Struthio camelus: one gene and its partner. The protein of the gene in region 1 interacts with the protein of each later gene in a pairwise test. Links are inferred from orthologs where the notes say so. Each region holds a gene or a part of one and is shown on either strand. Other genes may lie near its edges. The genes, in order: GAREM1 and GRAP2.

Evidence for each region.
Region 2: the proteins of GAREM1 (region 1) and GRAP2 interact in binary tests that used the Homo sapiens proteins (3 or more experiments, as listed by UniProt). The link is inferred for Struthio camelus from reciprocal best matches to the Homo sapiens genes GAREM1 and GRAP2.

What each region holds. Positions count from the first base shown.
Region 1 is NC_090943.1:142,630,516-142,642,466, forward strand, and holds the start of GAREM1 (GRB2-associated and regulator of MAPK protein 1), read left to right. Parts: upstream 1-5,793; 5' UTR 5,794-5,860; coding exon 5,861-5,981; intron 5,982-11,951.
Region 2 is NC_090942.1:57,584,447-57,596,014, forward strand, and holds the start of GRAP2 (GRB2-related adapter protein 2), read right to left. Parts: upstream 5,500-11,568; 5' UTR 5,477-5,499; coding exon 5,361-5,476; intron 1-5,360. UniProt on the Homo sapiens protein: Interacts with SLP-76 to regulate NF-AT activation. Binds to tyrosine-phosphorylated shc.

The DNA of each region.
Region 1 (11,951 bases):
TTGCTGTTTTTGTTGCTGTCCTGATATTTTTGAGTTGGTCCTCAACTATCCTGTAGTACAGAGCTCAAATCTGAACACCATATTCCAGTTTAAATAATAAGGGCTGGATAGATTTAAATGATTTCTTCATTATCTTGATGCTCCTATTTATATATTCAGCAACTGCGTAAGATAACCTGATGTTGCTAACTGTTCACTTTGTGATCCATGATGCCTCTTTTCTAAAAACTGCTTTTTCATCCTGATACTTATTTGTGCCATTGATTATTCCTTCATACGTGTAGAATTTTGAATTTCTCGTTATTCAGTTGCCTTTCATTTTCTCCAGTTTGCCAAGATCTTTCTGAATCGTAATGCTGTACTCCAGCATAGTTGGAGCCCCTTCCTGTAGATGTGGTCTTCAAATGCGAATAAGTATACTCTATTTAGTCATCCAAGATGTTGATAAAAATACTGAAGAGTTCCGGACCCAAGACAGATCTCAGTGGAATCCCATTTGATACGTTCTTCCAGCTTGAGAATATAAATTATTTTGAAATAATTTTGCACTTGTTTTATATACTTCTCTAGACCATATTCTTTTCAGGTAAGAGCACAGTATATGAAACCCTATGATCTTCATTCTTTCTGCCCTCTCCACAAAGCCCGCTACCTCCTCATAGACTGATCTCACATTGTTTGGTATTGACAGACATTGTTTGGTATTGACAGAGGAGTCTGTCACTTCTCACTGTTACTTCTCTTGTCTCTGCTTTCTAGATGGTTACAAATGGTTGGATTACCTGTTCAGATCTTTCTGAGGAGTGGAAATTAAGCTAATCAGTCTGCAGCGCTCTCTCCTCCTTTCTACCCTTTAAGAGAGATGCAATGGTTGCCTTCTCCAATTTTCTGAACCCTCACACATCCTCTTTTGATTCTTGGAGATAGTCAGTAGCAGCTCTAATGTTGCTTGAAGCAGTTTTTTGAGTACCTAAGGGATTTCATCGGGTCCACTCTGCTCAAAAATCTTCATCTAAGTATTTTCCAATCTATTTCTTCATTATTCTAGCCTAAACTCTTAGCCCTTTGTCAGTAGTGCTAGTGGTTGAATCACATCTGCCTTCTTAAATTGAAAACTGAGATTAAAAAAGACATTTGGGATACTGCTGTCTGGGCATCATCAGTGAATAGATTCCCTCCAGAGAATAACATTAACTTTTTCCTTGGTCTTCTCACTGTGCATTTTTCCAACATCCTTGTTATCTTTTAATTCCAGTTATCTAACATTTTGAGACTTGATCTTTCTGGTGTTGTCCATACATGTTCTGCATATTTATACATATTGACACTTTAGTAATTTGACCTACTTTCTGCTTTGTTTCAGGTCACTGAAAATCTTCCAATTCAGCCAAGTTAGTTTGTTATTTCACTTCCTCTCCTTCCTCTGCAATTTTGCCTTCAGCAGTGGATCTTTAAGGAACTTGAAGCTGTCTTGAACTCACAGTTCTCTGAGTTTAGGTCTGCGTTCAGTTCTTTGTTTCTATTTTGCTGGGGTTTTTTTCCTCCTCTTCTTAAGACTGAAATTCACAATGAAAATAAACATATAAAAGATGGTCAGATTGATCTGTAATTTTAATTTCTCTATAATTAATCGGATTTTCAAACTATGGAATTCCTTCTGTATGTTATTCATTCTCACAACGTTTTCTATTTCTTGTGGCTTAGCTGCTGTCCAGTCACTGGCCTGCCCTAGGGAGGTACAAATTATTTAGGTTCCTAACCACAGCGAAGGTTGGCAGGACCCTACCCCTTCTCTGTTTAACACTCCAGGTAGCATTATTCCTCTCCTCTTTGCATTTTTGTTCTCCTGCACTGAAGCAACTTCTGCCTTTTTCTGAGCACAAGCATTGGGAGTATTCCTGGTCTCTGTCCACAGAGGTGTGCCACCACAGAAGAACTACTCTGATTAGACAGGTCAAAAAAACCCCTACCAAACGGCTACACAGTGTGTTTGGAGGCATTTACCCAATTAGAAAAAGGGTTGTAAGTTGAGAGCGTTATCTTCATTTACTTCTGAATTGTCTCTTAAGCTGGCTGGATGATAGCGTCACACAAATTTCTACTGAAGGAATTTTTAGAAGAAATAATGGTTAAATGAGGGGTTTGACTGGAAAAAAAAAGGATGCCTCTTACAATGAGAGAGAAGATAAAAGGTAAATGTACATACCAGAACGGCAGGTCTCTTTACAGTACCTTGTAGGAGCAAAGATTGCTTGGATTTTACCAATAAGACAGGAATAGTGTTCTCTTTCAAAACATGAGATACGCAGACATCAACTATACCAAATATGCTGTTCTCTTTCCACTTTCCCCCTCACCGCCAAGAAAGGTTTAAGATCCAGTTCTGAAATGATTGCTGCAGCTCCTCTTATTTTAAGTGGACTTGTGAACATTTACTTATCTGAAAATCAGGTCTGCTGTAAATGCAAATCACATACAGGAAGAAGGAGGGTATTTCTTTTTTTCTGTAAAGAATTTATTTTAAAGAAAAACTGTCTGAAATGGCTCCACAGCTAACATGTGAAATTTACTGTATAAGGCACATAATTTTATTTGGTGTATGCATATTAAACTGTAAAGCAAGTTACCAGACTAAAAAAACAGTTTCTTTTGAACAGCTCCATTTCAAATGCTACCATAGATATGAATGGATGATGACCTGAAACACTTTAAAAATCTTTTTACTGGCAATAGAATAAATATATTAGAGATTTTATAGCCTGCTCTATAACTGCATTGCTAAACAAACATGAAATGTTGTCAATTCAAAATGCACTTGAGAATAATTTCAGGAATTATTCCGAGTCCCCCTGCCACTGCTTACTTTCATGACTACCATTTCTTTTAGATACAAAAAGACTGTCTCTGAATGCTGTCTGAAAGACACATACACAAGAACTAAGGGCTCCTGAAAAAATGAGGCCCTGATCCTGAAATGGATCTGCTAGCACTCATTTCTGTAAAGGTTTATTGACTTCATTAACTTAATTAGTATTTTGCAGCAGTGTAGGAGACTTGGTAAGAGATCACACTAAAGGTCTGAGGCACTGCTAAACATCAGGGAAATGATTGTATCTAAAGTGTTAATTATACATAAGGTGCAGTTAAAACAAGGAAGAGGCACAGTTTCATATGTGCTTGTGATTTGAATGCTGTACATGTAATATTAGAATATATTTCAAGAAGGTTCAGCTACAGTATAATTAGGGCATGTAACAAGGTCACTCTAAGAGCTCTAGTGAAACAGTTAAATGCTAATAAGCTTTATGATGTTAGTTTGCCTGAAAATAACTAAATGAAATTTAGGCTGTGTCGAGAATTTACATTTAAAAAAATGCATTGTGTTCAAATAGAATGGGAAAGAGTATGTTAGGTTTCTACAATTAGAAAGCAAACAAACAAGAAAGGCTTAAAAACTGTATGACATATAAAACTGCCTGAAGAAGGAGAAATTAATCTTTAAAAAAAAATTAGCAATTGCTATTTCAGGTGTGAAAGATACATTTCTTCCCAGAAAGCAGAACTGCATGATGTTTGAGAGAAGCATATGCTGTGAGACTGTATCTATCCTGGAATTAACGCTGGCTAAAATCATGTTTAAAAGCAATTCTTCAAGCAATTCTTCAAGTCCTGGTGAATCCCACTGCATCCAGTAACCTTGTCAAACCTGAAAAAGTTAAAACCATTATTTTGATTTCCATATTTCACATAATTATGCTTTTAGCTATTATATCACTTTGCACTTCAATAGCTCCATTCACTGAAGCTGTTCAAAGCATTTTGCAGACTTTGTAAAAGGGATGCAAGTTACAAAAAAAAATCCACAATCCGTATGGATATTTTTAATGCTGTTATGATAACTAGGATCTAGTAGCACCATAACTGAATTGAGAGAATTATGGTTTGTCATAATTAGTGCTGGGAAATCCCAGTGCCTTGTCAAGGTGGGGTTCCAACCAACCCAGATCCATCACGGTGGAGAGCATGCGTGCAGCACCAGCTTCTCTTTGCCATGGAGCAGAACAAGCGCGTATCTGTCTTGGCCCTCCATGTGCCTGTGGTGCTGTTGGCACCAGCAGTGAACAAAGACACTCAGCAGGGCTGGCTCCTTTAGAAAGCACGTGAGGAAGCAGGAAGGGCAGGAGAGCTATTTGCACTGCAACTCTTGCGAGCTCTCGCCCAGCAATCGCCAACAGCCTCAAAGACAGATACCGCAGAAGACAGATCTTGGAGAGAGAGCCTAGTTGTGGATTTTTTCAGTCCTTTTATAAATCACTGGAAAGTACTTTTATAACGTTCCTAGTCAATCAGACAGCCTTAAGCATAGCAGAGCTTACTGTAATCAAATTTTCAGTTTTGATACAAAAGTGAATTGAAATACACTCAGCATACCACCCGGGAGTAAGTTTTCCCTGTTGAAGCTCCCCCAGTTTCTAGTCTAGCAATCTGGAGATGTTACACCTACCATAGGAAAAAAAAACCCCACAAGATTACAAGAAAAAAATTATGAAGCTTATATAAGGCTTCATTACATAAACCATTCCGAAAAGAGAACTAGTGGTTGATTTAAAATTTTCCTGTGGCCGGAAGATCACAAAACACCCACCCGGTGTATTTAATACTTGCATGTGCACTAACAACAAGTCAAAGATCTTGCTCTAACTTCTGTGTGTTACTCTTCATACTTTAAATATTCATTTGTGGCTCACAGCTGAAAACTAAAACAAGAGATACATGATCAAAGTTGTCATTTAACTGGATTATTCTTAACGTAGTATGAATTTCACAGGCAAATTACCTACGGTGAATAGTGAGAAGACTTAATGCAACATACTTGCTCAAAACCGCTTTGATAAATGAAGTGAAACATGTTATCTACTTACTGTACATTTAAATGTGTGTACAGATGGATCTCCCTGTCCTCTTGCTTCCTTTTGCTTATTTTACAGGGGAGCGGCACATGTAAATCCATGTGCTCGAAGAGACGCCAGAACCTTTCTAAGTTGCACGCCAAGCACGTTAAGGGCAATTAAATGATGCATATCGCCTCACTTTGTGCAGTGCTACGGCCTCCCTCGCCGTAGCCTCCCTTTCCCAACCCCAGTCCTGGGAACTGGCTGCAGGGAGAGCACTCCGATCGTCTTTAAAGGTCACAGCCTGGCTCCAAGGCGTAGCTTGATCTTCCCCGCCGCCCGCACCCCCTCACGACCGCCGGGAGGGGGGGGGCCCACACCCCCTGCGGCCGCTGCTGGGCGAGCGCGGCCCGGCCGGAGGGGGCCCCGCAACGGCCGCCCAACGGCCGCCCAACGGCCGCGCGGCGCCAACCGCTGCAGGTCGGGCGAGCGGTCGGAGGGTGGAGTGAGAGGGACAGGCTCGGCGGCGGCGGCAGCGGGCTGCGGCGGCGGCGCTCCCCCGCCGGGCGGGTAGCCCGGCACTTTCCTTTTTGGAGCGGGGAGGAGCGGCAGCTGCGCAGGCGTTTCTCGCACCCTGTTGATTAGTCAGTGCTGGGATGGCGCTTCCTGGGCCAGGCACGGCAGCGGGCAGAGCGCCGGGCGGCCCCAGCCGGTCCCGGGGGGCGGCGGCGGCGGCGGCAGCGGGAGCAGCCGCCCGGCGGGCGGCCCCTTCTGCATAGCCCGGCCCGGCATGTCCCGCGGCGGCCGGTGCTGAGCGCGGCGGGCGGGCTCCTTCCCTCCCTCCGTCCTTCCCTGCCTGCCCCTCTCGCCGCCTGCCCGCCCGCCTCCCGCTGGCGGCAGCCCCCCGCCGGCGCGGCGCGGCGGGGCGCGGCGCGTCTGGCTGCCCAGGCCGGGCGGAGGACGGGAAGATGGACCCCGGCCCGCCGCCGGGCTGCAGCCTCAAAGAGGTGAAGTGGAGCGCCGTGGCCGTCCCCTTGGACCTGCTCGTCAGCACCTACCGGCTCCCGCAGATCGCCCGGCTGGACAGCGGTGCGTGAGGCGGCGGCGGCGGCGGCCCGAGGCGAGGCGTCTCCCCGCGCCGCGGGGGTGGCGGGGGGCGCGGTGCGGTGCGGTGCCCGGCTGGGCCCGCGGCGGGCGGCAGCGGCCCGGCCGCGAGTTAATGGCCAGCCGCGGAGCCCGCCGCGGGGCCAGCCGCGGGGCGGGCTGGCGGACCGCGGCGGCAGATTCTCCCGTCCAGCCCCAGCCGGAGGGAGCCGGAGAGCGCTGCGGCTTCCCGAAACGCTGCCCCGTGCGGGCTCTGCCCCGCAGCCAGCCCTTAACGTGGGGTCGGCGCAAAGCTAGGGCTTCGGTTGGGGTCTTCCTGCGCTGCCTTGCGTCAGGATATCTGGGTTTTCCCCCCCTCTGCCCCCGCACCGTTACTGCATGTGTCGAGGGGCACTCGGGGAAGCCTGCGCTGCCAGCTGCCAGCCCCCGAGAAAGGTCCTCGAAGTCGCCAGTTAGAACATAGAAGGGCATTTGCAGTGCTTAAAGACCCCATATTGCGTTGAAGTGATGCTGTGGTGGCTACATCAAGGCCAAATAAGACAGAGTATTAAATAACAAAGTGGGCTAAATCACAAAATATCTGCTTGCCGTTTACTGGAAAAGCAACAGACCTGTAAAAGAGAGGGGTAACTTGAGAGGCCTTTTAAGTCTCCAGAAAACTTTTTATTACTCTTCACTTGTATTCTAACCTATGGTTTCGAAGTCTGCATGTTTCTGTTCACTTCAGGAAATCAAAAATAGTGCAACTGAATGGCTATCACAGCAACATCTTACTATTCCTACATACTTCTCTTCAGAAGTAGTAAGCTAGCACAGAGAACTGAGGAAATAATCATTTGGGGGTGTGTGTGCGTGGGTTTTTTGTGTATTTTTTCTTTATGACGCTCAAACAGCTGATGTATGATGCTGTGTATGTATGTTGTGTGGTAGCCCCATAAAAACTGTCTGACTCTCCCAGCCCTAAGGGAATGCAGAAGATATCTCAGAAATCAGGAAAAATTTCCAGACCTTATGATTCATTAGCTTATGAAGTGCCCTCGCAGTTATATGATCTAATGGAGCAATTCTCTTACAAAGTTTTGTATTGATTTGGACAGTTAAAAAGGGGCACAGGAAATGTCTTCTATTACTATCCTGTGTGCAGGTCAAGACCAGGATTGGTTTATTACTTAACTGCACTTCCCATAATCTTGCGATGATGCAAGCCAGGGTTTTTTTGACTTTGTCCTTTGGTTATGCAGTACATTTCCTATCCCTTGTAGTGCTTTCTTGGAGCTGGTGCTCAGGAGCAGGTTAAAGAGAAGGTTCTTTGCCTTTTTAACTGCATCTGACTATTTTTCATTATTATCAGCCATACACTGTCCTGTGATTATAATGGCAAAGCTGCTATGTTAAAGAGTTCCTCCTGTGGTAATACCTTTTGTCACTTGAAACAGCTAACATGGCCTCCCAGTCTCTGCACTTTAGGCTGTCAATTTAGTTGAGATTGCTGGCAGTGATTCAGACTTTAATAGGCTATATTGATGACTTACTAATTTCCCTGTCTCTGTGTTATACTTCTTCCTAACCTCCCCATTCCTCTTGACCTGTCTCATGGAAAGGGCCCTGCAAGAACTTTGAGTGCAGAGAAAGTTGATGAGTTATGAGGCTAGTATCCCCCCCCCCAGCTATTTCCCACCCTTCTTTATGGACTTTTGTGGGGAGGGGGTGGGCAAGGTGGTCTCGTTTCAGAACTGGGGACAGGAATGCACCATAATTCACCATAATTGTTGGGGAGACAAAAATGATGCTAACTTTGTGCAAAGGCTTTTTCTCCTGTGTGCCACCCTTAAAGCATATGGGCACACACAGATGGAAGTAGACAGACCTGAGCTCTGTTGAGCATGCCCTGAGATGGCCAGACATGAGACAGCTGTTGGTCTGGCTGTATGAGTGAAGGTCCAGCCCTCTACTAAATCCTGCTAAAAGGCAGGCTTGGATATAGCACTGCAATAAGTTGACAATTTGGCTTTTGAACTGGAATTGGTTCAGGTCTGGCTAGTTCCGAGTTGGAGCAAGGGCTTGTGGGTCTGCTTTTACCTGCTCATATGGACATACTTTTTCACTTCTGGAATGACAGATGGCAGACAAATCAATATTTTATAAAGAATATAGATGCCATAGTCTCTCTGGTACTAAGAGCAGACTTTTTCTATTTCCAAAGGAAATTGTCTTGCAGTAAGAGAAAAGCAAGCCTTGAGTCAGCATGTGGTCTGCTAAAGGGGAAAAAGTTGGGAACATGCAATATTTGTGTAGAGTCTGGAGCACCTGCTGTTCCACGGTCATTGGTCTTCATCTCTGTCCTTGTCTTGCTAAGTGGAGCTCTGTTGGAGAGCTTCTTGATAACATACTGATGAAAATAAATTACAAAGTCCATTCCAAATGCATATTATCTGATGCTTATGAAGTTTAAGGCTATCTCTGTTAACCAAGTAGTGTCTTGTACCAGTTTTATCAGGATGCAGTTCTTTTCTCTGCACCACTGAAATGTACAGCTTGTAGATACTCATCCACAAGTCATAGTTTTAGTTTACACAGAAGTGACCTTGTCTGTTCATTAGGTGCTGAATTCCTCTTGAGGCCAGTGGAAGCTGCACGTGCTTTATACTGTTGGAAATCAAACAACCTTCAGATGTCTTACGTACATCCCATTTAGATTTCATAGCTAGCTAGTATGTCTGTGGTAGCTGGTTGTTTCAGTGATTGTGAGGTTTTATCAAAGCCAGAATTCATTTTCTTTGGAGGACCAGGATGTAGAAGGGAATTGAAAAGTTGGTAACATATTTTCTTCAAAGACGACAGCCTTACTGTGTTGTTTCTACATTTCTTAACGGAGGTGAATGCTCGGTGGATATTATTCTTGGATGATATGCACATAAGGTCCTCAGTCTTTCATTGTTGCTGCAGCACCTTTAGGGCTTTCAGATTGAAGTGGGGAAATGGATATGATGAATATTTCCAGTTGGGGTGTGAAGCTCCTGGAAGAATGCCCTTAAGTAGTTCAGTTTGATTTCTTGACAGAATGAAGTTATGAAATATTTATGTGCACTAAATTCAGTCCTCTCCTAGGAAGGGAGGGCTTTTTTTGATGGTATGGCGTAAAGGAGGAATGCGAAGTAGTAGTCTTATGTTAAGGTATCTGTGGAAGTAGTTAGGCAACCATGTCTGCCTTATCTATATAGAAATGAGAAATATGTCAACTTTAACTGTTTTTTTTTTTTTTAATATGAAAATTTAAGATTGCTTAGCTGGGTTTCGGGTCATGTTTTTGGATGCTCATAAATGATAAGTTCTGTACTGTATCATTTTGAGGGTCACAGCTTGCGTAGTGTTTCAATCTACTCTTGTATTTTAATATTTTGCTGGTGAATATTTGTATATTAATTGAACAAACTAAATCCAAAAACACAATGCTCTCACCCCTTAGAGAAAGGGAACTGCTTTTTCCATGTTCTTTCCAACATCTAGTGGCTTGAAGATTTCTAGAGGATAGCTCAAATATAAAACTGTTAACACCTTACCAGTGAAAATAGTGAAATCCAAAGGATGATATAAAGTTCATTCAAGTAGGCTGTTTCAGATGGAAAGAAACAAGATTCAAAGAGTGACAGATGAGCAATTTTTCTGTTGTATTTTCTTCTATCTTCTCTCCCTGCCCGCTCCTTTCCTCCCTCCCCCCCCCCCGCCCCGCATCCCCACAAATTTGTGTTGTAACAGCGGAAAGCTACCCCAATGAAATTGAGGGACTTATGTGTGGGCTCAGTGAGAAAAAAATTGCACTCTGGCAACTAGCAGCAAAAAGAGCTTTTGTCTGAGTTTGGTTGTTGCAAATACGGCGAAACGTGACCATAGCTGATATTGGAGAAGCTTGGATGCGCTTGGAGGTTTGGATTGCCTGTGTTCAGATAATAGTAAAAGAGGCTAAAAGTCGTTGTATGGTTGTATTTTTTTGCTAATCTGTAACGCTTAAGTGATGTTGCACGTGGTTATCTCAGGGTTTTAAATTTCTAAAAACTATTTTTCTAAGGATAATTTTAGAGAGCTAAGGAGAAATGCTATCAAGATTAAGAGCTGGAAAGTGTCGCTTTGCGTAGAGTTGACCTTCAGGCCTAGCTTTTCTGCATGTAAGCTCACTGCTCTCTTCAGACTCCAACAGTCCCTCATTTTTTACCCAGTGGGAGTTCCTTTTACCCTGCCACTACTGCTTAATTTCCACAAGTACTTAAAGAGCTGACTATGCTATCAGTTGTTTTGACCCACAGAATGGGTATGAACTAGAAAAGTTCACAGAAATGCACAGGTTCTCTATGAAGACTAGATTTTCTGGGATCAAGAGGGGATGCAATCCTCTTTTTATTTATTTTTTTCACAAGGGACAATCGTACTTGCATATGCTCCAGAAAATGTGTTATGGAAGCTGAAGCTCTTGGGATCGAAACATAGTGGCACTTGTTTGGTTGTGTGAAGACCTCAGCTTGCACAGAAGTGCTTTCCTGCTATGCGCTATAAGAAAACTATACTGAATTTTTCTGGAGTGGAGTCTCTAGGTCCTTGTTGGTCACTAAGATTCAGAAGGAAATTCATCTCTATGTGGTGTAAATGTGTGGTTGCTTTAAGATAAAATGACAGAATTAGTGACAATAAAGAGAGGGGGGAAAAAAATCCGTAAAATGGGTGAAAAATCTGTTTTAATTTTTTTTTCCTTAGCCCTGACTACACTCTTGTGAGTAACAGCACTGGGAGAGTAGTGAGTTTGTCTTGCTATTGCTGTTGGGGATGAAGAGGTTTTATTTACTGCACTATAATTCCCAGTTCTCCTTGGTGGGATTCCACACTAGATGCACTACTTCCCCCCACCCCTTTTCCCCTTAAGGTATTCAGGTGCCCTCTTTCTCTCCCGTTTCAAAAACCTTTCACCGTGATGTCAGGCTACTCTATTCCCTTTCAGTGGACTGTTGTTCCTTACAGCACGTTATTGCAGGGCTTAATCTGGTTCTAAATGTCTTGAAACCGAACACCCTTGTAGCTTATCAAAGAACATTATACTAAATAGACCAGCGTGGCCATGTACATAATGAAAATTTCATATTGCGTCACTCCACAAATGTGGGTTATCTGTGAAGCTGAACAATGTTTTGAAACTACAAAGAATCTTATTCTTCTAAGGTCTGAGGGCTGATATCCAGGCTTTAATTGTTGTGAATGATCTTCTTTCAAGCAGCTATTGCAGAGTGTCTCAGTAATCCATTATTGATACACGGGAATAAGAATCATGTAGGGGAGGAGTAAAACTTTCAAACAGACCAAAAAAGAGAATTCATATATGCTTAGACTCTGAGCAGCTGCCATGGTCTAAATTACTGTTCTAGGTATGGCAATCTGTTGTGTACTCTGGTAGATGGCAGTTCGCTTGTATATTGTGCTGATAGATAAGAGTCTCTTGATCGAAAGGCAAAAAATATCCCTGAGATATGGTACATCCTTGTGGTTTGATTTCTTTCCTAAGCAGCTTTAAAACTCTAACTGTTTATACTGTATGTTCTGCCATTAAAGTATAATCTCAGAATCATCTCCTTGTCTTCTCTTTTCTTTTTTCCCTCCTTTTCCTTGTGGTCTGTTGATTCTATCAAGGCCATTGAATGAAAAAACAATTCACAGGTTGCCACTAGCCACTGGTCCTGTTTTTTTGTTTGTCTTTTTTTTGTTTTGTTTTGTTTTTTCTTTTCCCCCTGCTGGCAGAGATGTGCTCCAGAAATATTTTAGTGAAAAAGCTTTTAATTCATTTAAATTCTGCAGCTACCCAATGGTGCCTGTAAAGACGATAGGGCCCTCCTGGAGGTAGAGTCCAGCAACTTGGCAAAATCTATTCTCAAGAGCAGCACAGGCTTCCGGATGAGTCAAACAGCAATTCAGTAG
Region 2 (11,568 bases), on another chromosome or scaffold:
TGATGCTATATTTCAGCTGTACTTCCTATCCGAAAGGACTTCCGAAAGCCAATTCTGAGGCAAAGGAATCAGAAAATAATCTAGAATCCAGCATTATGAGATTAAAATCAACCAACCAACCACCAACTACATTAACCAGTTATTAACCACATTAACCACCAATTATAACATTAACCCAACAAACCCATCTACAGTTAGATGCAGCTATTCAGAGATGCTTTCCTTGTATTTGGATACCTAAATATGGACCAGATTCTAAAGAATACTCAAGATTCATTAGACCCAGCTTTGAAAGTTGTAAGAGATTTACAAAAAACATACAGCATCCAACACTGTTTGGCAAACAGGAGTAACTAGGAGCTGAGCTCTTCTGGTATTTGTGCAGGTCTGCATGTGAATACACACTAGACATACATGTGAATGGCAAATTCCCTTTGTCTGCGCATGATCATACATTTCACAATGTGAAATGGAAATATAGACACAATTCTGTAATTATTCATGCTAAAGTAGGAATGAATAAGTTCACCTTATGTCTCTGGTTCATTTCCACAACAGTCAAGAAGAACCTCCTCTCTTCATGTGTGACTGATGATGGATGCAATAGGAGGCTATCATATCCTTAATTTTGGGCAGAGTTAGGGAATTCGTTACATTATGGCATTAATCCAGTCTGATAAAAATAGTTTATACTCCTATGTTGGATTCTATGATACAGCAATACAGTTGAGTGGCATATGTGAACAAAATGGTATTAAAATCTGCCTGCATATACTGCTGGGTACATAATATTGCGTTTCAGATCAGCTGCTGCATATTTCTCTGATCATGCCAGCTGATAGAATTTTGAGTAAAAGAGGAAAAAGAATGAGATCAGTGAGGAAACTGCTGTTTTCCTTGCTTTTGCCTAAGATTCATCCTGGCAGCACAGACAATTGTGCAAAATCTGTCACTCCACTACTAAAATTACATATGCCAACAGATAAAATTTTGCACAAAAGTAGAAGTAACGTTAACCCAGTGAGAAAACGTAATCCTTCTCTGTCCTTTTAACCGTAGATCTATTTTTGTACAAAATGGCAGCTGCCTGCGCAAGTTGTGTTTTTTACTGAAAAGTTTTTGTCTCATCTCTTTTTCCTTACATTTTTTTCCCTTCCTCTTGTGCTTTTACAACAGGATTAAATATAAAAGTCTAGTTCAATATAGATTTCGCTATGATAATGTAAGCACAAGCATAGGAAATCTGATAATTAGGTTCCAAGAGCCATCTTATCTTGGTCATGTTATGCATACTTTGCCAATTTCAGCTTGCAGCCATGTTCTGAGAGTATATACAAATTATATACAAAGTTTCACATTTAAGTAACTACAGATAACCTGAAATGTTACCAGAAGTACGTACCATGTGACATAATGAGCATTGCTGTGGTACCTCCATTGCGTACTGGCACCAATTGCATACGTAACTCACATTCTGAGCCTCTGTGTTGTATTAACTATGTCTTTTCTTCTTAAGGTATCTTGTGGGCTCAACTTCTATTTAAACACAGCACCCCTTTTACAAGGCCCAAGTGCTAGAAAAGAGCCTTTCTATAAATTAAAGTCAGCCCATGTGTATCACACTTGGGAATGCTTCTGAAAGGATTTTAAAAGCAATCAATTATAATAACACATACATTTAAAGATGCAACTCCAACAGTCCATCCAATTTTTCTTCTGATTATAAAGTAAACATGAATGCCAGCTTGTTACTATTCCCAGGGATGGTCTCTGCACAGAATTTTTACCATTTTAAGCAGAAGCGTGGAACATATTTCATATTTGTCTATGCATTTTTAGCTCACTTGGATTATGATGCATTTGAAATTAAAGTGTAGCAGCAGTTCCTGAATGATTTAACGTGTAGACATTTTTTACTCTGAAGTGGGAGCGACTTGTTCTTGTTTATCTTAATCCAAAATTGAGCTATATCAAATTGGAATAGGTTCTCATCATCTGGAATAAAAATACCCAGGCAATACCATGATGTAGGAATATCGGTTACTGAATTACTGTGCAGACTGAGACTCAATCAAACACATAAAGTTCCTTTAGGTAGATCAGGCCTGACATCTTACAATTCACGTTCCTACGGCAGAGGCACCTTCACAGCAGTCAGGCTAACTGGAACCTCACTGCGTAACCCCTGCACAGCCTGCAAAAATAATCACAGCCTCACTCCTTCTACGAGCAAGTGATCGATTGCTGCTCTGCAGCAGCGAACCGCACAGCCTCTGACTAGTCAACAGAATGCATGTGGCAAAAAGGGAACGCTGCGCAAAGGGTGTGAATGAGTCATTCGACATTTCAGGTTGCCTGAAGTCATTCTGCTACATTTATTTCTAATCTTGATGGGCTATCCACATTTGCATATTAAGCAGGATGAGAAGAGAGAGATTTAAATTATTCGCTACGATACACACATGGAGGACAGCAGACTGCATGTGTGTGAGAACGTGGGCTTACATGCCTGTCCGCGGGAACAAGGCAGCAGGTGACTTTTCCACACTTGTATGTGAGCAGGCATTCTGCCTGCAAGCCTGAACACGTCTGAGCAAAAGTATGTTCGAACATGTGTTTCTCTAGGGATGTGATTATAAATGAAAGATGTTCATTTGCGTTGTGCCTGAATGGCGGAACAGAGGTCCTGTGAGCATGCTTCAAGTGATGTGTGTTGTGTTTTCCTTGGCAAACACAATTCTGAGCAACTGCAAACGACTTGGTCTGTGTACTCTCGGAGAGTAGACAAGTGTGCTGTGCGCATGGGGCTGACAAGGAGCACCCCAGAGCATGAGTGCAAGTCAGCTGAAGCTGCAATTTAGGTGTTAGTCAAACATCAGCAGTAATGAATCACCTATTTAAAGACTTCCATGGAAAAAATGCACGTCAACCTCTTCAGGTAGGATCTGGCCTAACATTATGCTCCTCCACTCCTGGTTATACTCCCAAGGAAGTTAAAGCAGAGAGTCTGACTGCTGGTAGCTCACACTGAAGTCCCTGTGATCCGTGCATACTTAGCAGCTCCGAGCATTAAGCCATCTTAAAATACGTGCTCCTCGATGAGGCTTAGGAGCCTCAGGTTGTACTTGGAGTTGAAATTTTGGACAAAGACACTCACTTAGCCCTCATTTAAGAAAAAGACCTATCTATCAGTACGGAGATGAAGATCTGGTTGAAATATCATGCAGGAAATATTTTCAGAGGTTGAAGGAGGTGAACATAAAAGATACTAAATGAGACTACTCAAGGTTATATCGCAAGGAGTAAATGCTTTAAATGGAAGATGGAAAATTTGTTGTGAATATGGACTCAGTGGGCCACATACGAACTAAATCTCAAAGAGATGAAACATCAGTTGAGTGGGGCAAGCAGAGCTCTGGGATCTTGCCTCAAGCTAAAAGCAGTCATATTTAGTTTTGCACGGAGCCAACAGTGTATTTGCGCCCAGAGCAAGAGACTTGCAGCATGCTGCATAGGTAGAGGGCACTGTCAAGATCTATGCTATTATTTTTATTTGTTGGTAATATCCAGGTTATTGCACCCTTTAAATTATTAAGACTTACTGCTTAAAGCACTGCAGATCCATCCCCTCCCCTTCCCCGATTCTGCAACTTAATTAACTCAATTAACCTTGGTGAATTAATAGAGGCTGGACACTGTCTCCTTCAGATTTAGTCACTTTTGCTCAGTGCTGCAGGTGCATACAGAACAATGAAGGGCACTACTTAAATCTCCAAACAGAATTGCTTTAATGGAAATGACAGTGTACCTTTATGGTATTTGTATTCATATTAAGTTTCATACCCTTCATTCTCAGAAAACCTAAACGCTGGGCCTAGTCTACGTAGCTTCTGTCCTATTAAATAAAGCTTATAAGAAGTGAGTACAATTCTGCTTGAAAAAAATCGGAAAAAATGAATTATTCTGTTTCTTTGGGTTGCAATTGGAGGCATATTATCGCAATTCCAACTTACCCAACTAGGCTTATATTGGCGTTGTACAGAAGATAAAATGGAATGAGATGGAAATCCAATGTCTAGTCCACTCCAAGGCACACAGACTGAGGTACATAAAGATCTAATAGCCATCGGTACTAGTGTTGAACTGAGGGGAGACTCCACATAAAAGAACTCCTTATAGCCCACATGGGTCTTGTGTAGAAGCGAGGGGTAACACACAGGAGGCAGCTCTGGATGTGCTGAGGATACCATAGCACAGGGAATGAGGGCAGAGAGGCACAACATGATCTACAGCAGACAACTGCAATCCAGTTCACAGATCCCCTGAGAACTGACTTCAGTCCCACAAGTTTGCTTAATTATGAGAGAACAATCGTTTCACCTAGACTTTGCTTTCAGGCTCAGAAATGGGTATGTAGACATTTAAAGAAACCACCTTTTGTGTTCAACAGTATCCTATGGTTTTTGAGGAGAGGACAACAAGCTATTTCTTCTATAACGCAACAAAGTATCATGCACACTTCTTTCTACAATTATGCTCCTGAATACACAGTGCGGACAGCAGTTCTGTCATCTAAGAATCATCTCATGAAAAGAGTTGAAAACAAAAAAAAAATGGACATGATATAATATTGACAGTCTATTGCATTCTTTACTGCATTTCTATGTTACATCTCTTTTCCTTACCCTTTGCCTGTCTTTCCTATTTAGACTGCAAGCTCCTTGGAGTGACGGGCAGTCGCAAATGTTATTCTTCCATATGGCGCAACTTAACAAAGCCCAGTGGGTTGGGACCGTTTGTAGAATCATACAATAATTAAGACTGAAAGGAATCTGTGGAGATCATCAAGTTCAAGCCCCTGCTCATGGCAGGGCTAACTTTGAAATTATACTAGATGAGGATGTAACCCCATCTTTCTACAGTGACTGCTCTAATGGAGCACCAGTCTCATTCAGGCAATAACATAAATTATATGCCTTTGTAGATCAAAGGCATACTGAAAATCATTTAGGTACAAGACCTGCATTAAAAGATTTGAGATTTCCTTTCACTACGCACCTTACAAGATTGTAAAAAACATTCATAATGTGCTATTGACTTCAGTGCAAGAGTTTAATTATACAATTGCATATTATCAAAACACATACTAAAACGAGGCTAGCATTACAATCATCATTTTCTGACTTTTTTTGTGCTTAATACTCCATTAAAAATCATTATTTGTAGATAGAATTCAGACCAGAAAAAAAGGAAAAAGAAGAAAGGAGAAGAAAATTCCAGAATGGAAAAATAATTATGCAGTCTAGAGACTGTAGAAAAAAATTGCTTGGCTATACACTGCAGGATGGTCTCTCATGTACCTTGTACGGTCTGCAAGAAGGTGCTCCTCTGCTAGATACCTTAGAAAGTCTGCATAAGAAAGTTTCGAGAGCTGCGTGCTGTAGGAACTGTGCAGCTCTTGCCCTTCAAGATGCATCGTGAGTGTGGTAAGGCTCTGCAGTGGGAAACCAGCCAATGGCAAGAGTTACTTGTCTCAAGACTTAAATAAGCTCCATGCACTGCTACAAGGTTTAACCCCTCAAAATACAGATTAGTGGTACGTCTGAGACAAACAAGGTGAATTTTATCCAGCGTGAATACATCTAAAAACACATTCAATACCACACTGCTGCTTCCACATGAAAAAAAAAAAAAAAGCTCACTGCGCTTCCATTTTCTATTACTGTTTCTATTACCGTTGCTTCTACTCGTATCTATTTTGCCTGCTTTAAGATTAAAAAACTGTAATGTTCACTTTCACTACTATTGCATATCTTGCTATATTTGATTACAGTAGGTTGCTTCTTTCGTCTGGAAGATGAGCCCTGTTTTTCAGTCCGCAGCTTTTCAAAAATTAAGTTATATTAAAAGTGATCATCTTTGTAAAAGAAACTAAACCGCAAACATCCCCAAAGCATTCACTCAATTTGGAAATGTTGTTTCTTGGTTGCTAAGTCTGGACAGCAACCTGGACAAGCTGGACTAGCTCATCTCTGCAGCTAGTCAAGGAAAGAAGTAGCTGCTCAGTCCTTCCAAAGCTCAAGGCAATTAAATGTCTGAGATTGCATAGCAGAAGTTGATGCATTCAAAGCCACTCCCTTATAAAATGTCATGCCAGGTTTGTTTAGACTGAGCAGGAGAACAACATTGCAAAAGAACATTTTGCTCAAAAGCTAAAAAGCATTTCAAACTAAAAAGTAAAATTAAACGTACTGAATTCAAGAGATTCCCAATGCATTTTACAAACCATGAATTAAATTCAGACTCACTTTGCATTTTTGTTATCCTGATTGGCTTCATCAGAGGGGGATGCAGCAGTGCTAGGCAGGGTGGAGGGGCCACACACGGCTGTAGTTTCTCCCTGGTGCATTTCAAAGGACTACAGCTGCTCCTTTGGCTTCTCTTGTTAAAACTACCCAGTGGTTTAATTAAGAAGCCCTATTATGAGCTTTTCTCTTGCCACAGCCTCCTTGAGACTAGCACTTCTCTGGACACTTTCTGGTGAGGGGTAGTTGAGTTAGTAAGCATGAATACTAAAGCATGATGATCGTGTCCTTTGATCCTAGCTTTGCGCTGGAGGGCACCTCCAGTTTGGCCGCCACTTTCCCTGACTCTATCTATTCCTTCTCCTAACAATGAAATCCATCCTCCAGTGTTTTTCAGCAGTGCACAGCAGGCTAGAAGCAGAAGCAACAACTGCCCAATTAAAATTGAAATGTCAGATGTGCAGAAGGCAAACTGAAATCTGCCCGGGCTATCAGGGCAAACACCTTTAGTCTTATGCAATTAGCTGAAGGATAATTGATGACCACAGGCAGTCAAAGCCACAGTTTTGAGTATCAAGTGCAAGAAATGTGCTAGGGCATATCATTCAGTACTGATTCTCTCTGAGTCACTAAACCCATCTCTTGAAGTGCTGAGGTTTTCCTTAGAACTCTCCCCAAAATTACCAGATAAAATCACAAGGTGCTTAAAAGACTCCAAGTGGTGTTTACCAGTGCGCTACCACTCCCAGGGTCTCTGTAAGTTATGGTATATATAAAACACTAAGAGGCCTTCAGCTGGCTGTGGTGAGGAAAGGAATCCTTCAGCCCAGCGTGGCCCCCCTGATGATTTATTACAGTGACACAGTAATAATGCAGGTAAAGCGGACAGCAGGTGTGGGGAGCTCTGAGGTGCTACCAAAGAGGCAGAAAGCAAACCAGGAGAGGAACTCTTCTTCTGGAGTACCAGTGGCCTCCCAAAGAACCACCCCAAACTACTACCCCAGTACAACAACACAGAGAGCTCCCTGTTCAGACAAGTCCTTCATCTTCATCCCTCTGTGCTTCCCTCTCTTCATTCACCTCTCTCTTTAGATTGAGAGCTTGTTGAGGCTAGGGTTTTCTTCTGTTATGACTTTGCCTTCACTGCAAAAACTGATGTGTTTTTCTAACACAACAGCTATTGCATAGTAAATTGCCAAAGAAAACATTATCTTGATGTAGTGACCTGAGGTACCTTCCAGGTAGGGTATATTGTATTTACCCTAGCAAGCCTCAGTGACATGAAGTCACCAGCGCTTTCTCTTCGCTGAACTTCCACATTAAGGTAAGTACCTAGAGGAAACCACTTTAATATTAAAAGCATGCCTACTTTTCGCAATGAAGACATAACCTATGTCAGCGCAGAGCATCCAGCGTCAACAGTGTCCAAAAGACAGCCGAAGCCTTGCTGTAAAAGAACTAATTAATAATAGAGCTTTGGGTGCTTAAGGCACGGACCCTCAGACGCTATGGATAGTTTTGCACAGAAAATTTGGACAAAAGTTCTTCTGAACCCATTCTGCAGTTGCTATTATAACAAATGATTAACCTCTTCAGACAACACCTGTACTTGCTTCAGTCTCGTTTCCCACAGCAACCTCAATAGCCAAGAGGAGCAAATCAGAATAACGTTGAAAAATAGTTTTAAAAAAATCAGAATAAAATTTATTAGCAAATATTATAGGAGGTACTTGTCATGTCTGTGCAGTTACAGCTGAGTGGAGTTTTGCGTTTAAAGTAAGGATTCAGTGTCTTTGTTATGTATGAGAGGCACAGCACACATGAAGAATTACAGTACTAAGAGCACATATTGAATTTTCTAAGAATTTACAGGTAAATCTATTAACTAATTTATGAGATAAAATTACTTCTAAATATGGGCCCTTTAAGAAACTTATTGCTTTGTGTTTGATCTTCTGTTTGTTTCTATGATCTCAAACATGGAATAATCCAAATCTTCAGACTCCCTAAAGATCAGTAAAAACTGATCAACATTTGAAGATCTTTCCGAGATTAATAGCCCTTTTTCCCTCTACCATACTTCTTACTGAAAATTTCCTCTTCAAAAAAACCCTGGTGTTCAATTTTTTCCTTCAGAGAATGCTACAAAGTGACCTTTCAAGATACTCGATCTGCCCACAGCTAGAATGACCCTTTCAAAATATTCATCATTTCACAGCAGGATTTTCTCCTGACAGGAGAAACTCCATAGTCCTTCAGCAGGGACACTAGGCTTCACTTCTGCTGGGAATAGAGAGAAGTAGTTGCTGGCTCTGAATGATGAAATTTTAACTATGTGTGGTGGTATCAGTCCCACTGAGAATTACCTTGCTGTGATGTCACGGAAAAGAAAAAATATTTTCTTAAACATTATTCAAAACTAATCTGAGATCACAAACATTCAGAGGCTTTGATTATTGCATGGGCTCATTACACAAAAAGGAAAAGACAACACTAAACCATTTAGGCATATGGGAGACAGCAATATATGCTCTCTCAGATCAGTAGGTGAAAAAAGTAACCGCTGTACATGGCTGCTGCAGAAGGTAACGACATGACAATACCTATACAATCTTCAGCAATGTAATATTGCCTGTCTATTCATCTCCTTCTACTAAGAAACTCAAAGTACTAATTACTTTAATGAATTAGGATTCAACTCCTGTTCAAGATAGGAAAGTAGTTTGAGACTACATTTATTTATCCTCTACAATAAAGTAAATTAGGAGAATTTCTTTCGGGTTTCACAGATTTAATCTCACAGATCTGTTACACTATTAGGATTATTCAAAAAGAAAAAGCCAAACATGTAATGGTTAAAGGATGCCACTATTTTTATATATATTAACTTAAATACAGTCTGACGCTTTCACACTGTAAACTTCTCACCCTGTTAGAGTTAGGATTGTTCCACCCCTATATAGAGCTCTGAACACTTGGCTGATGGAGGGTTAGGTCACCTTTCTCAGAATCATTATGTTTTGACCCCTGTTTGGGTAGCGTACTGGATGTAACAGATGGATAGTCTCATCTGGTACAGCAAATCCTATGTACAAACAGTCAGACAGAATGCCTCCAGTATGTTAGCTTTAGACACTATACTCTTCTACACGGAAAAAAAGGTTACCAGAGCACATTCATGCATAGAGACAATTTTAAAAGTTTGTCCACATCCTGAGATAATCCCTGTTTAGATTACAGGGGTTATGGCAAATTTCTCCTGTGCCAAAACTCAGCTGTAGTTTGGAGGTGCTATGACCTGGAAACGTATTTAATTTGATGTTGTTCTTTATGTAGCCAATTTTTTTAAAATAAAGGAAGTCTAAAGCTATAGGGGTTAAAGTCTGTACTCTAAGCATCGCTGGGGAATTTGTCATGCTGAGATAATAAAAAATTGGGGAACTGGCAAGGAAAATCTGGAGAACACAAGGCATATAGTGCCTCAGGAAAAAAAATGGCATGTAATTAGTACTGTACACTGCTCTGAAAAGATAAAGCAGTATGTAAAAAAGGTTACAGAGTAGGGGAGAGGGAGAAAGGATGGATTTTGCAGCTCCAAGAGAGGGAAGAAAGGATTTCATCATGTATTGGTGCATGCTGTTCATTTAGGCATTCTAGTCATTTTCTTTCATCTCATAATACTTCACAGTGCTGACCTGTGATCTCAGTGCCATGATAATGTGGCCATTCTTAGCAAGCATATTTCTCAAAGGTTAGTCTCCCCTGCTTAGATGTTATTTAAATGGTGTGTTAGCATGATTCTTTAATCAGCAGAATGATTAAGAAAATTTAAGGCTACAGGAAGAACTCAGACCCTTCCAAGATCACTTTCCTTCATTCTCATCTTCTTGAAATTCTCATCTTCACCCTCCGGAAATAGTACTTACAGTGACTGTGCTTCAGAGACAAGGTTCTGAGCTATAGCCAAAAGAAAAAGAGATACCCTTCTTTTCACCCAGATTACCCATCTGGATATGCCCGATACCCCTGGGACACTAGTGGCCAAACATCAGAAGCATTTAAGTAAAGCATCAATCCACTACAGGGCTCGTATGGTTATATCATGAGAATAGCTTGTAACTTAAAGCATGAAGGCTATAGTACATACACTTGTTAGCCTAGCTCATACCGCTACAAGTTTTATTCCTGTTCGTGCAAGTCCCTTTCCCCCCTCCCTTTTAAAAAGTACTTGTTTTAAATCCTATTTAAAATGAAAGTGCCACTATAAAATGCAGAAACAAGGCAGTTTTGTCTAGTGATTAAGGAACAAGATCAAGAATCCAGGGAGCAGTTTCCAGCCCCAGACCAGATAATGATTTGTTGTGCACCCCTGGGCAAGCCACTTCAGGGCTTGTGTAGGGCACGTCCACATAGTACGGTGTCACTGCGTATGGAGATATTTAAATGGCTGGGGTACCGAAAGCCATAAAGCTCAGTTCTCAGAAGGCTAGTTCGTTTTTACAGACCGTCTAGCTAGTCAAGTTAGTATGGCTATAGTGCTTCTGCCATCTTAGGTAACTCAGCGATACCACATCCATGCACATAGGCCTGACCTTAGTTATAAAGTGAGAGAATTCATACCGACCCATCTCAAGGACAAATGGGCAAAATGGCCATCGACAGACAAAAATGTACACAGACAATAAGATGAAAGGCCTACACAGGAAAAGCAAATTTACCACCATATAACCCCTGATGGGACTGTGTATTTCCTTTGCTGTTGCCCAAATTTACTAAGAATGGCGGAAAACTAAGCTGAACAAACCAAGAAGTCTCCTGCAAGGGAGCTGCAAAGTAAAGATTTCTGAAAGATATGGGATTTATGGATGCCATTTGCGCTGACTGGAATATGGCTTGCAGCCAGCCCTGAGCTTTAAATCAAGTGTGTGACAATCATTATATTCAATATAACATTCTGAGGAACTGAAAGCAGACAGAATGGCTAAGCTCCTTTTAAACCAAAACCAGACTCTGGAGAAAAGTGAGAAAGGTAAAGGAAGACAGGGCCTTATTATACTGTAAAAACTAAAGAAACAAAAATCACCCCCAAACACATAGGCATATTAAGGGTTGCTAGAAATATTTAGTTAGTGGTAAAACTATCGGCATTTTCTCAGCCTTTGTGGTTAGGCCCTTTTGACTGCCTATATCAGAGACTGAATGAATATCATTTTCATTACGTGAGGCAATAAAAGTAAACCAAAGGAGACTGCCTACAGCAGTA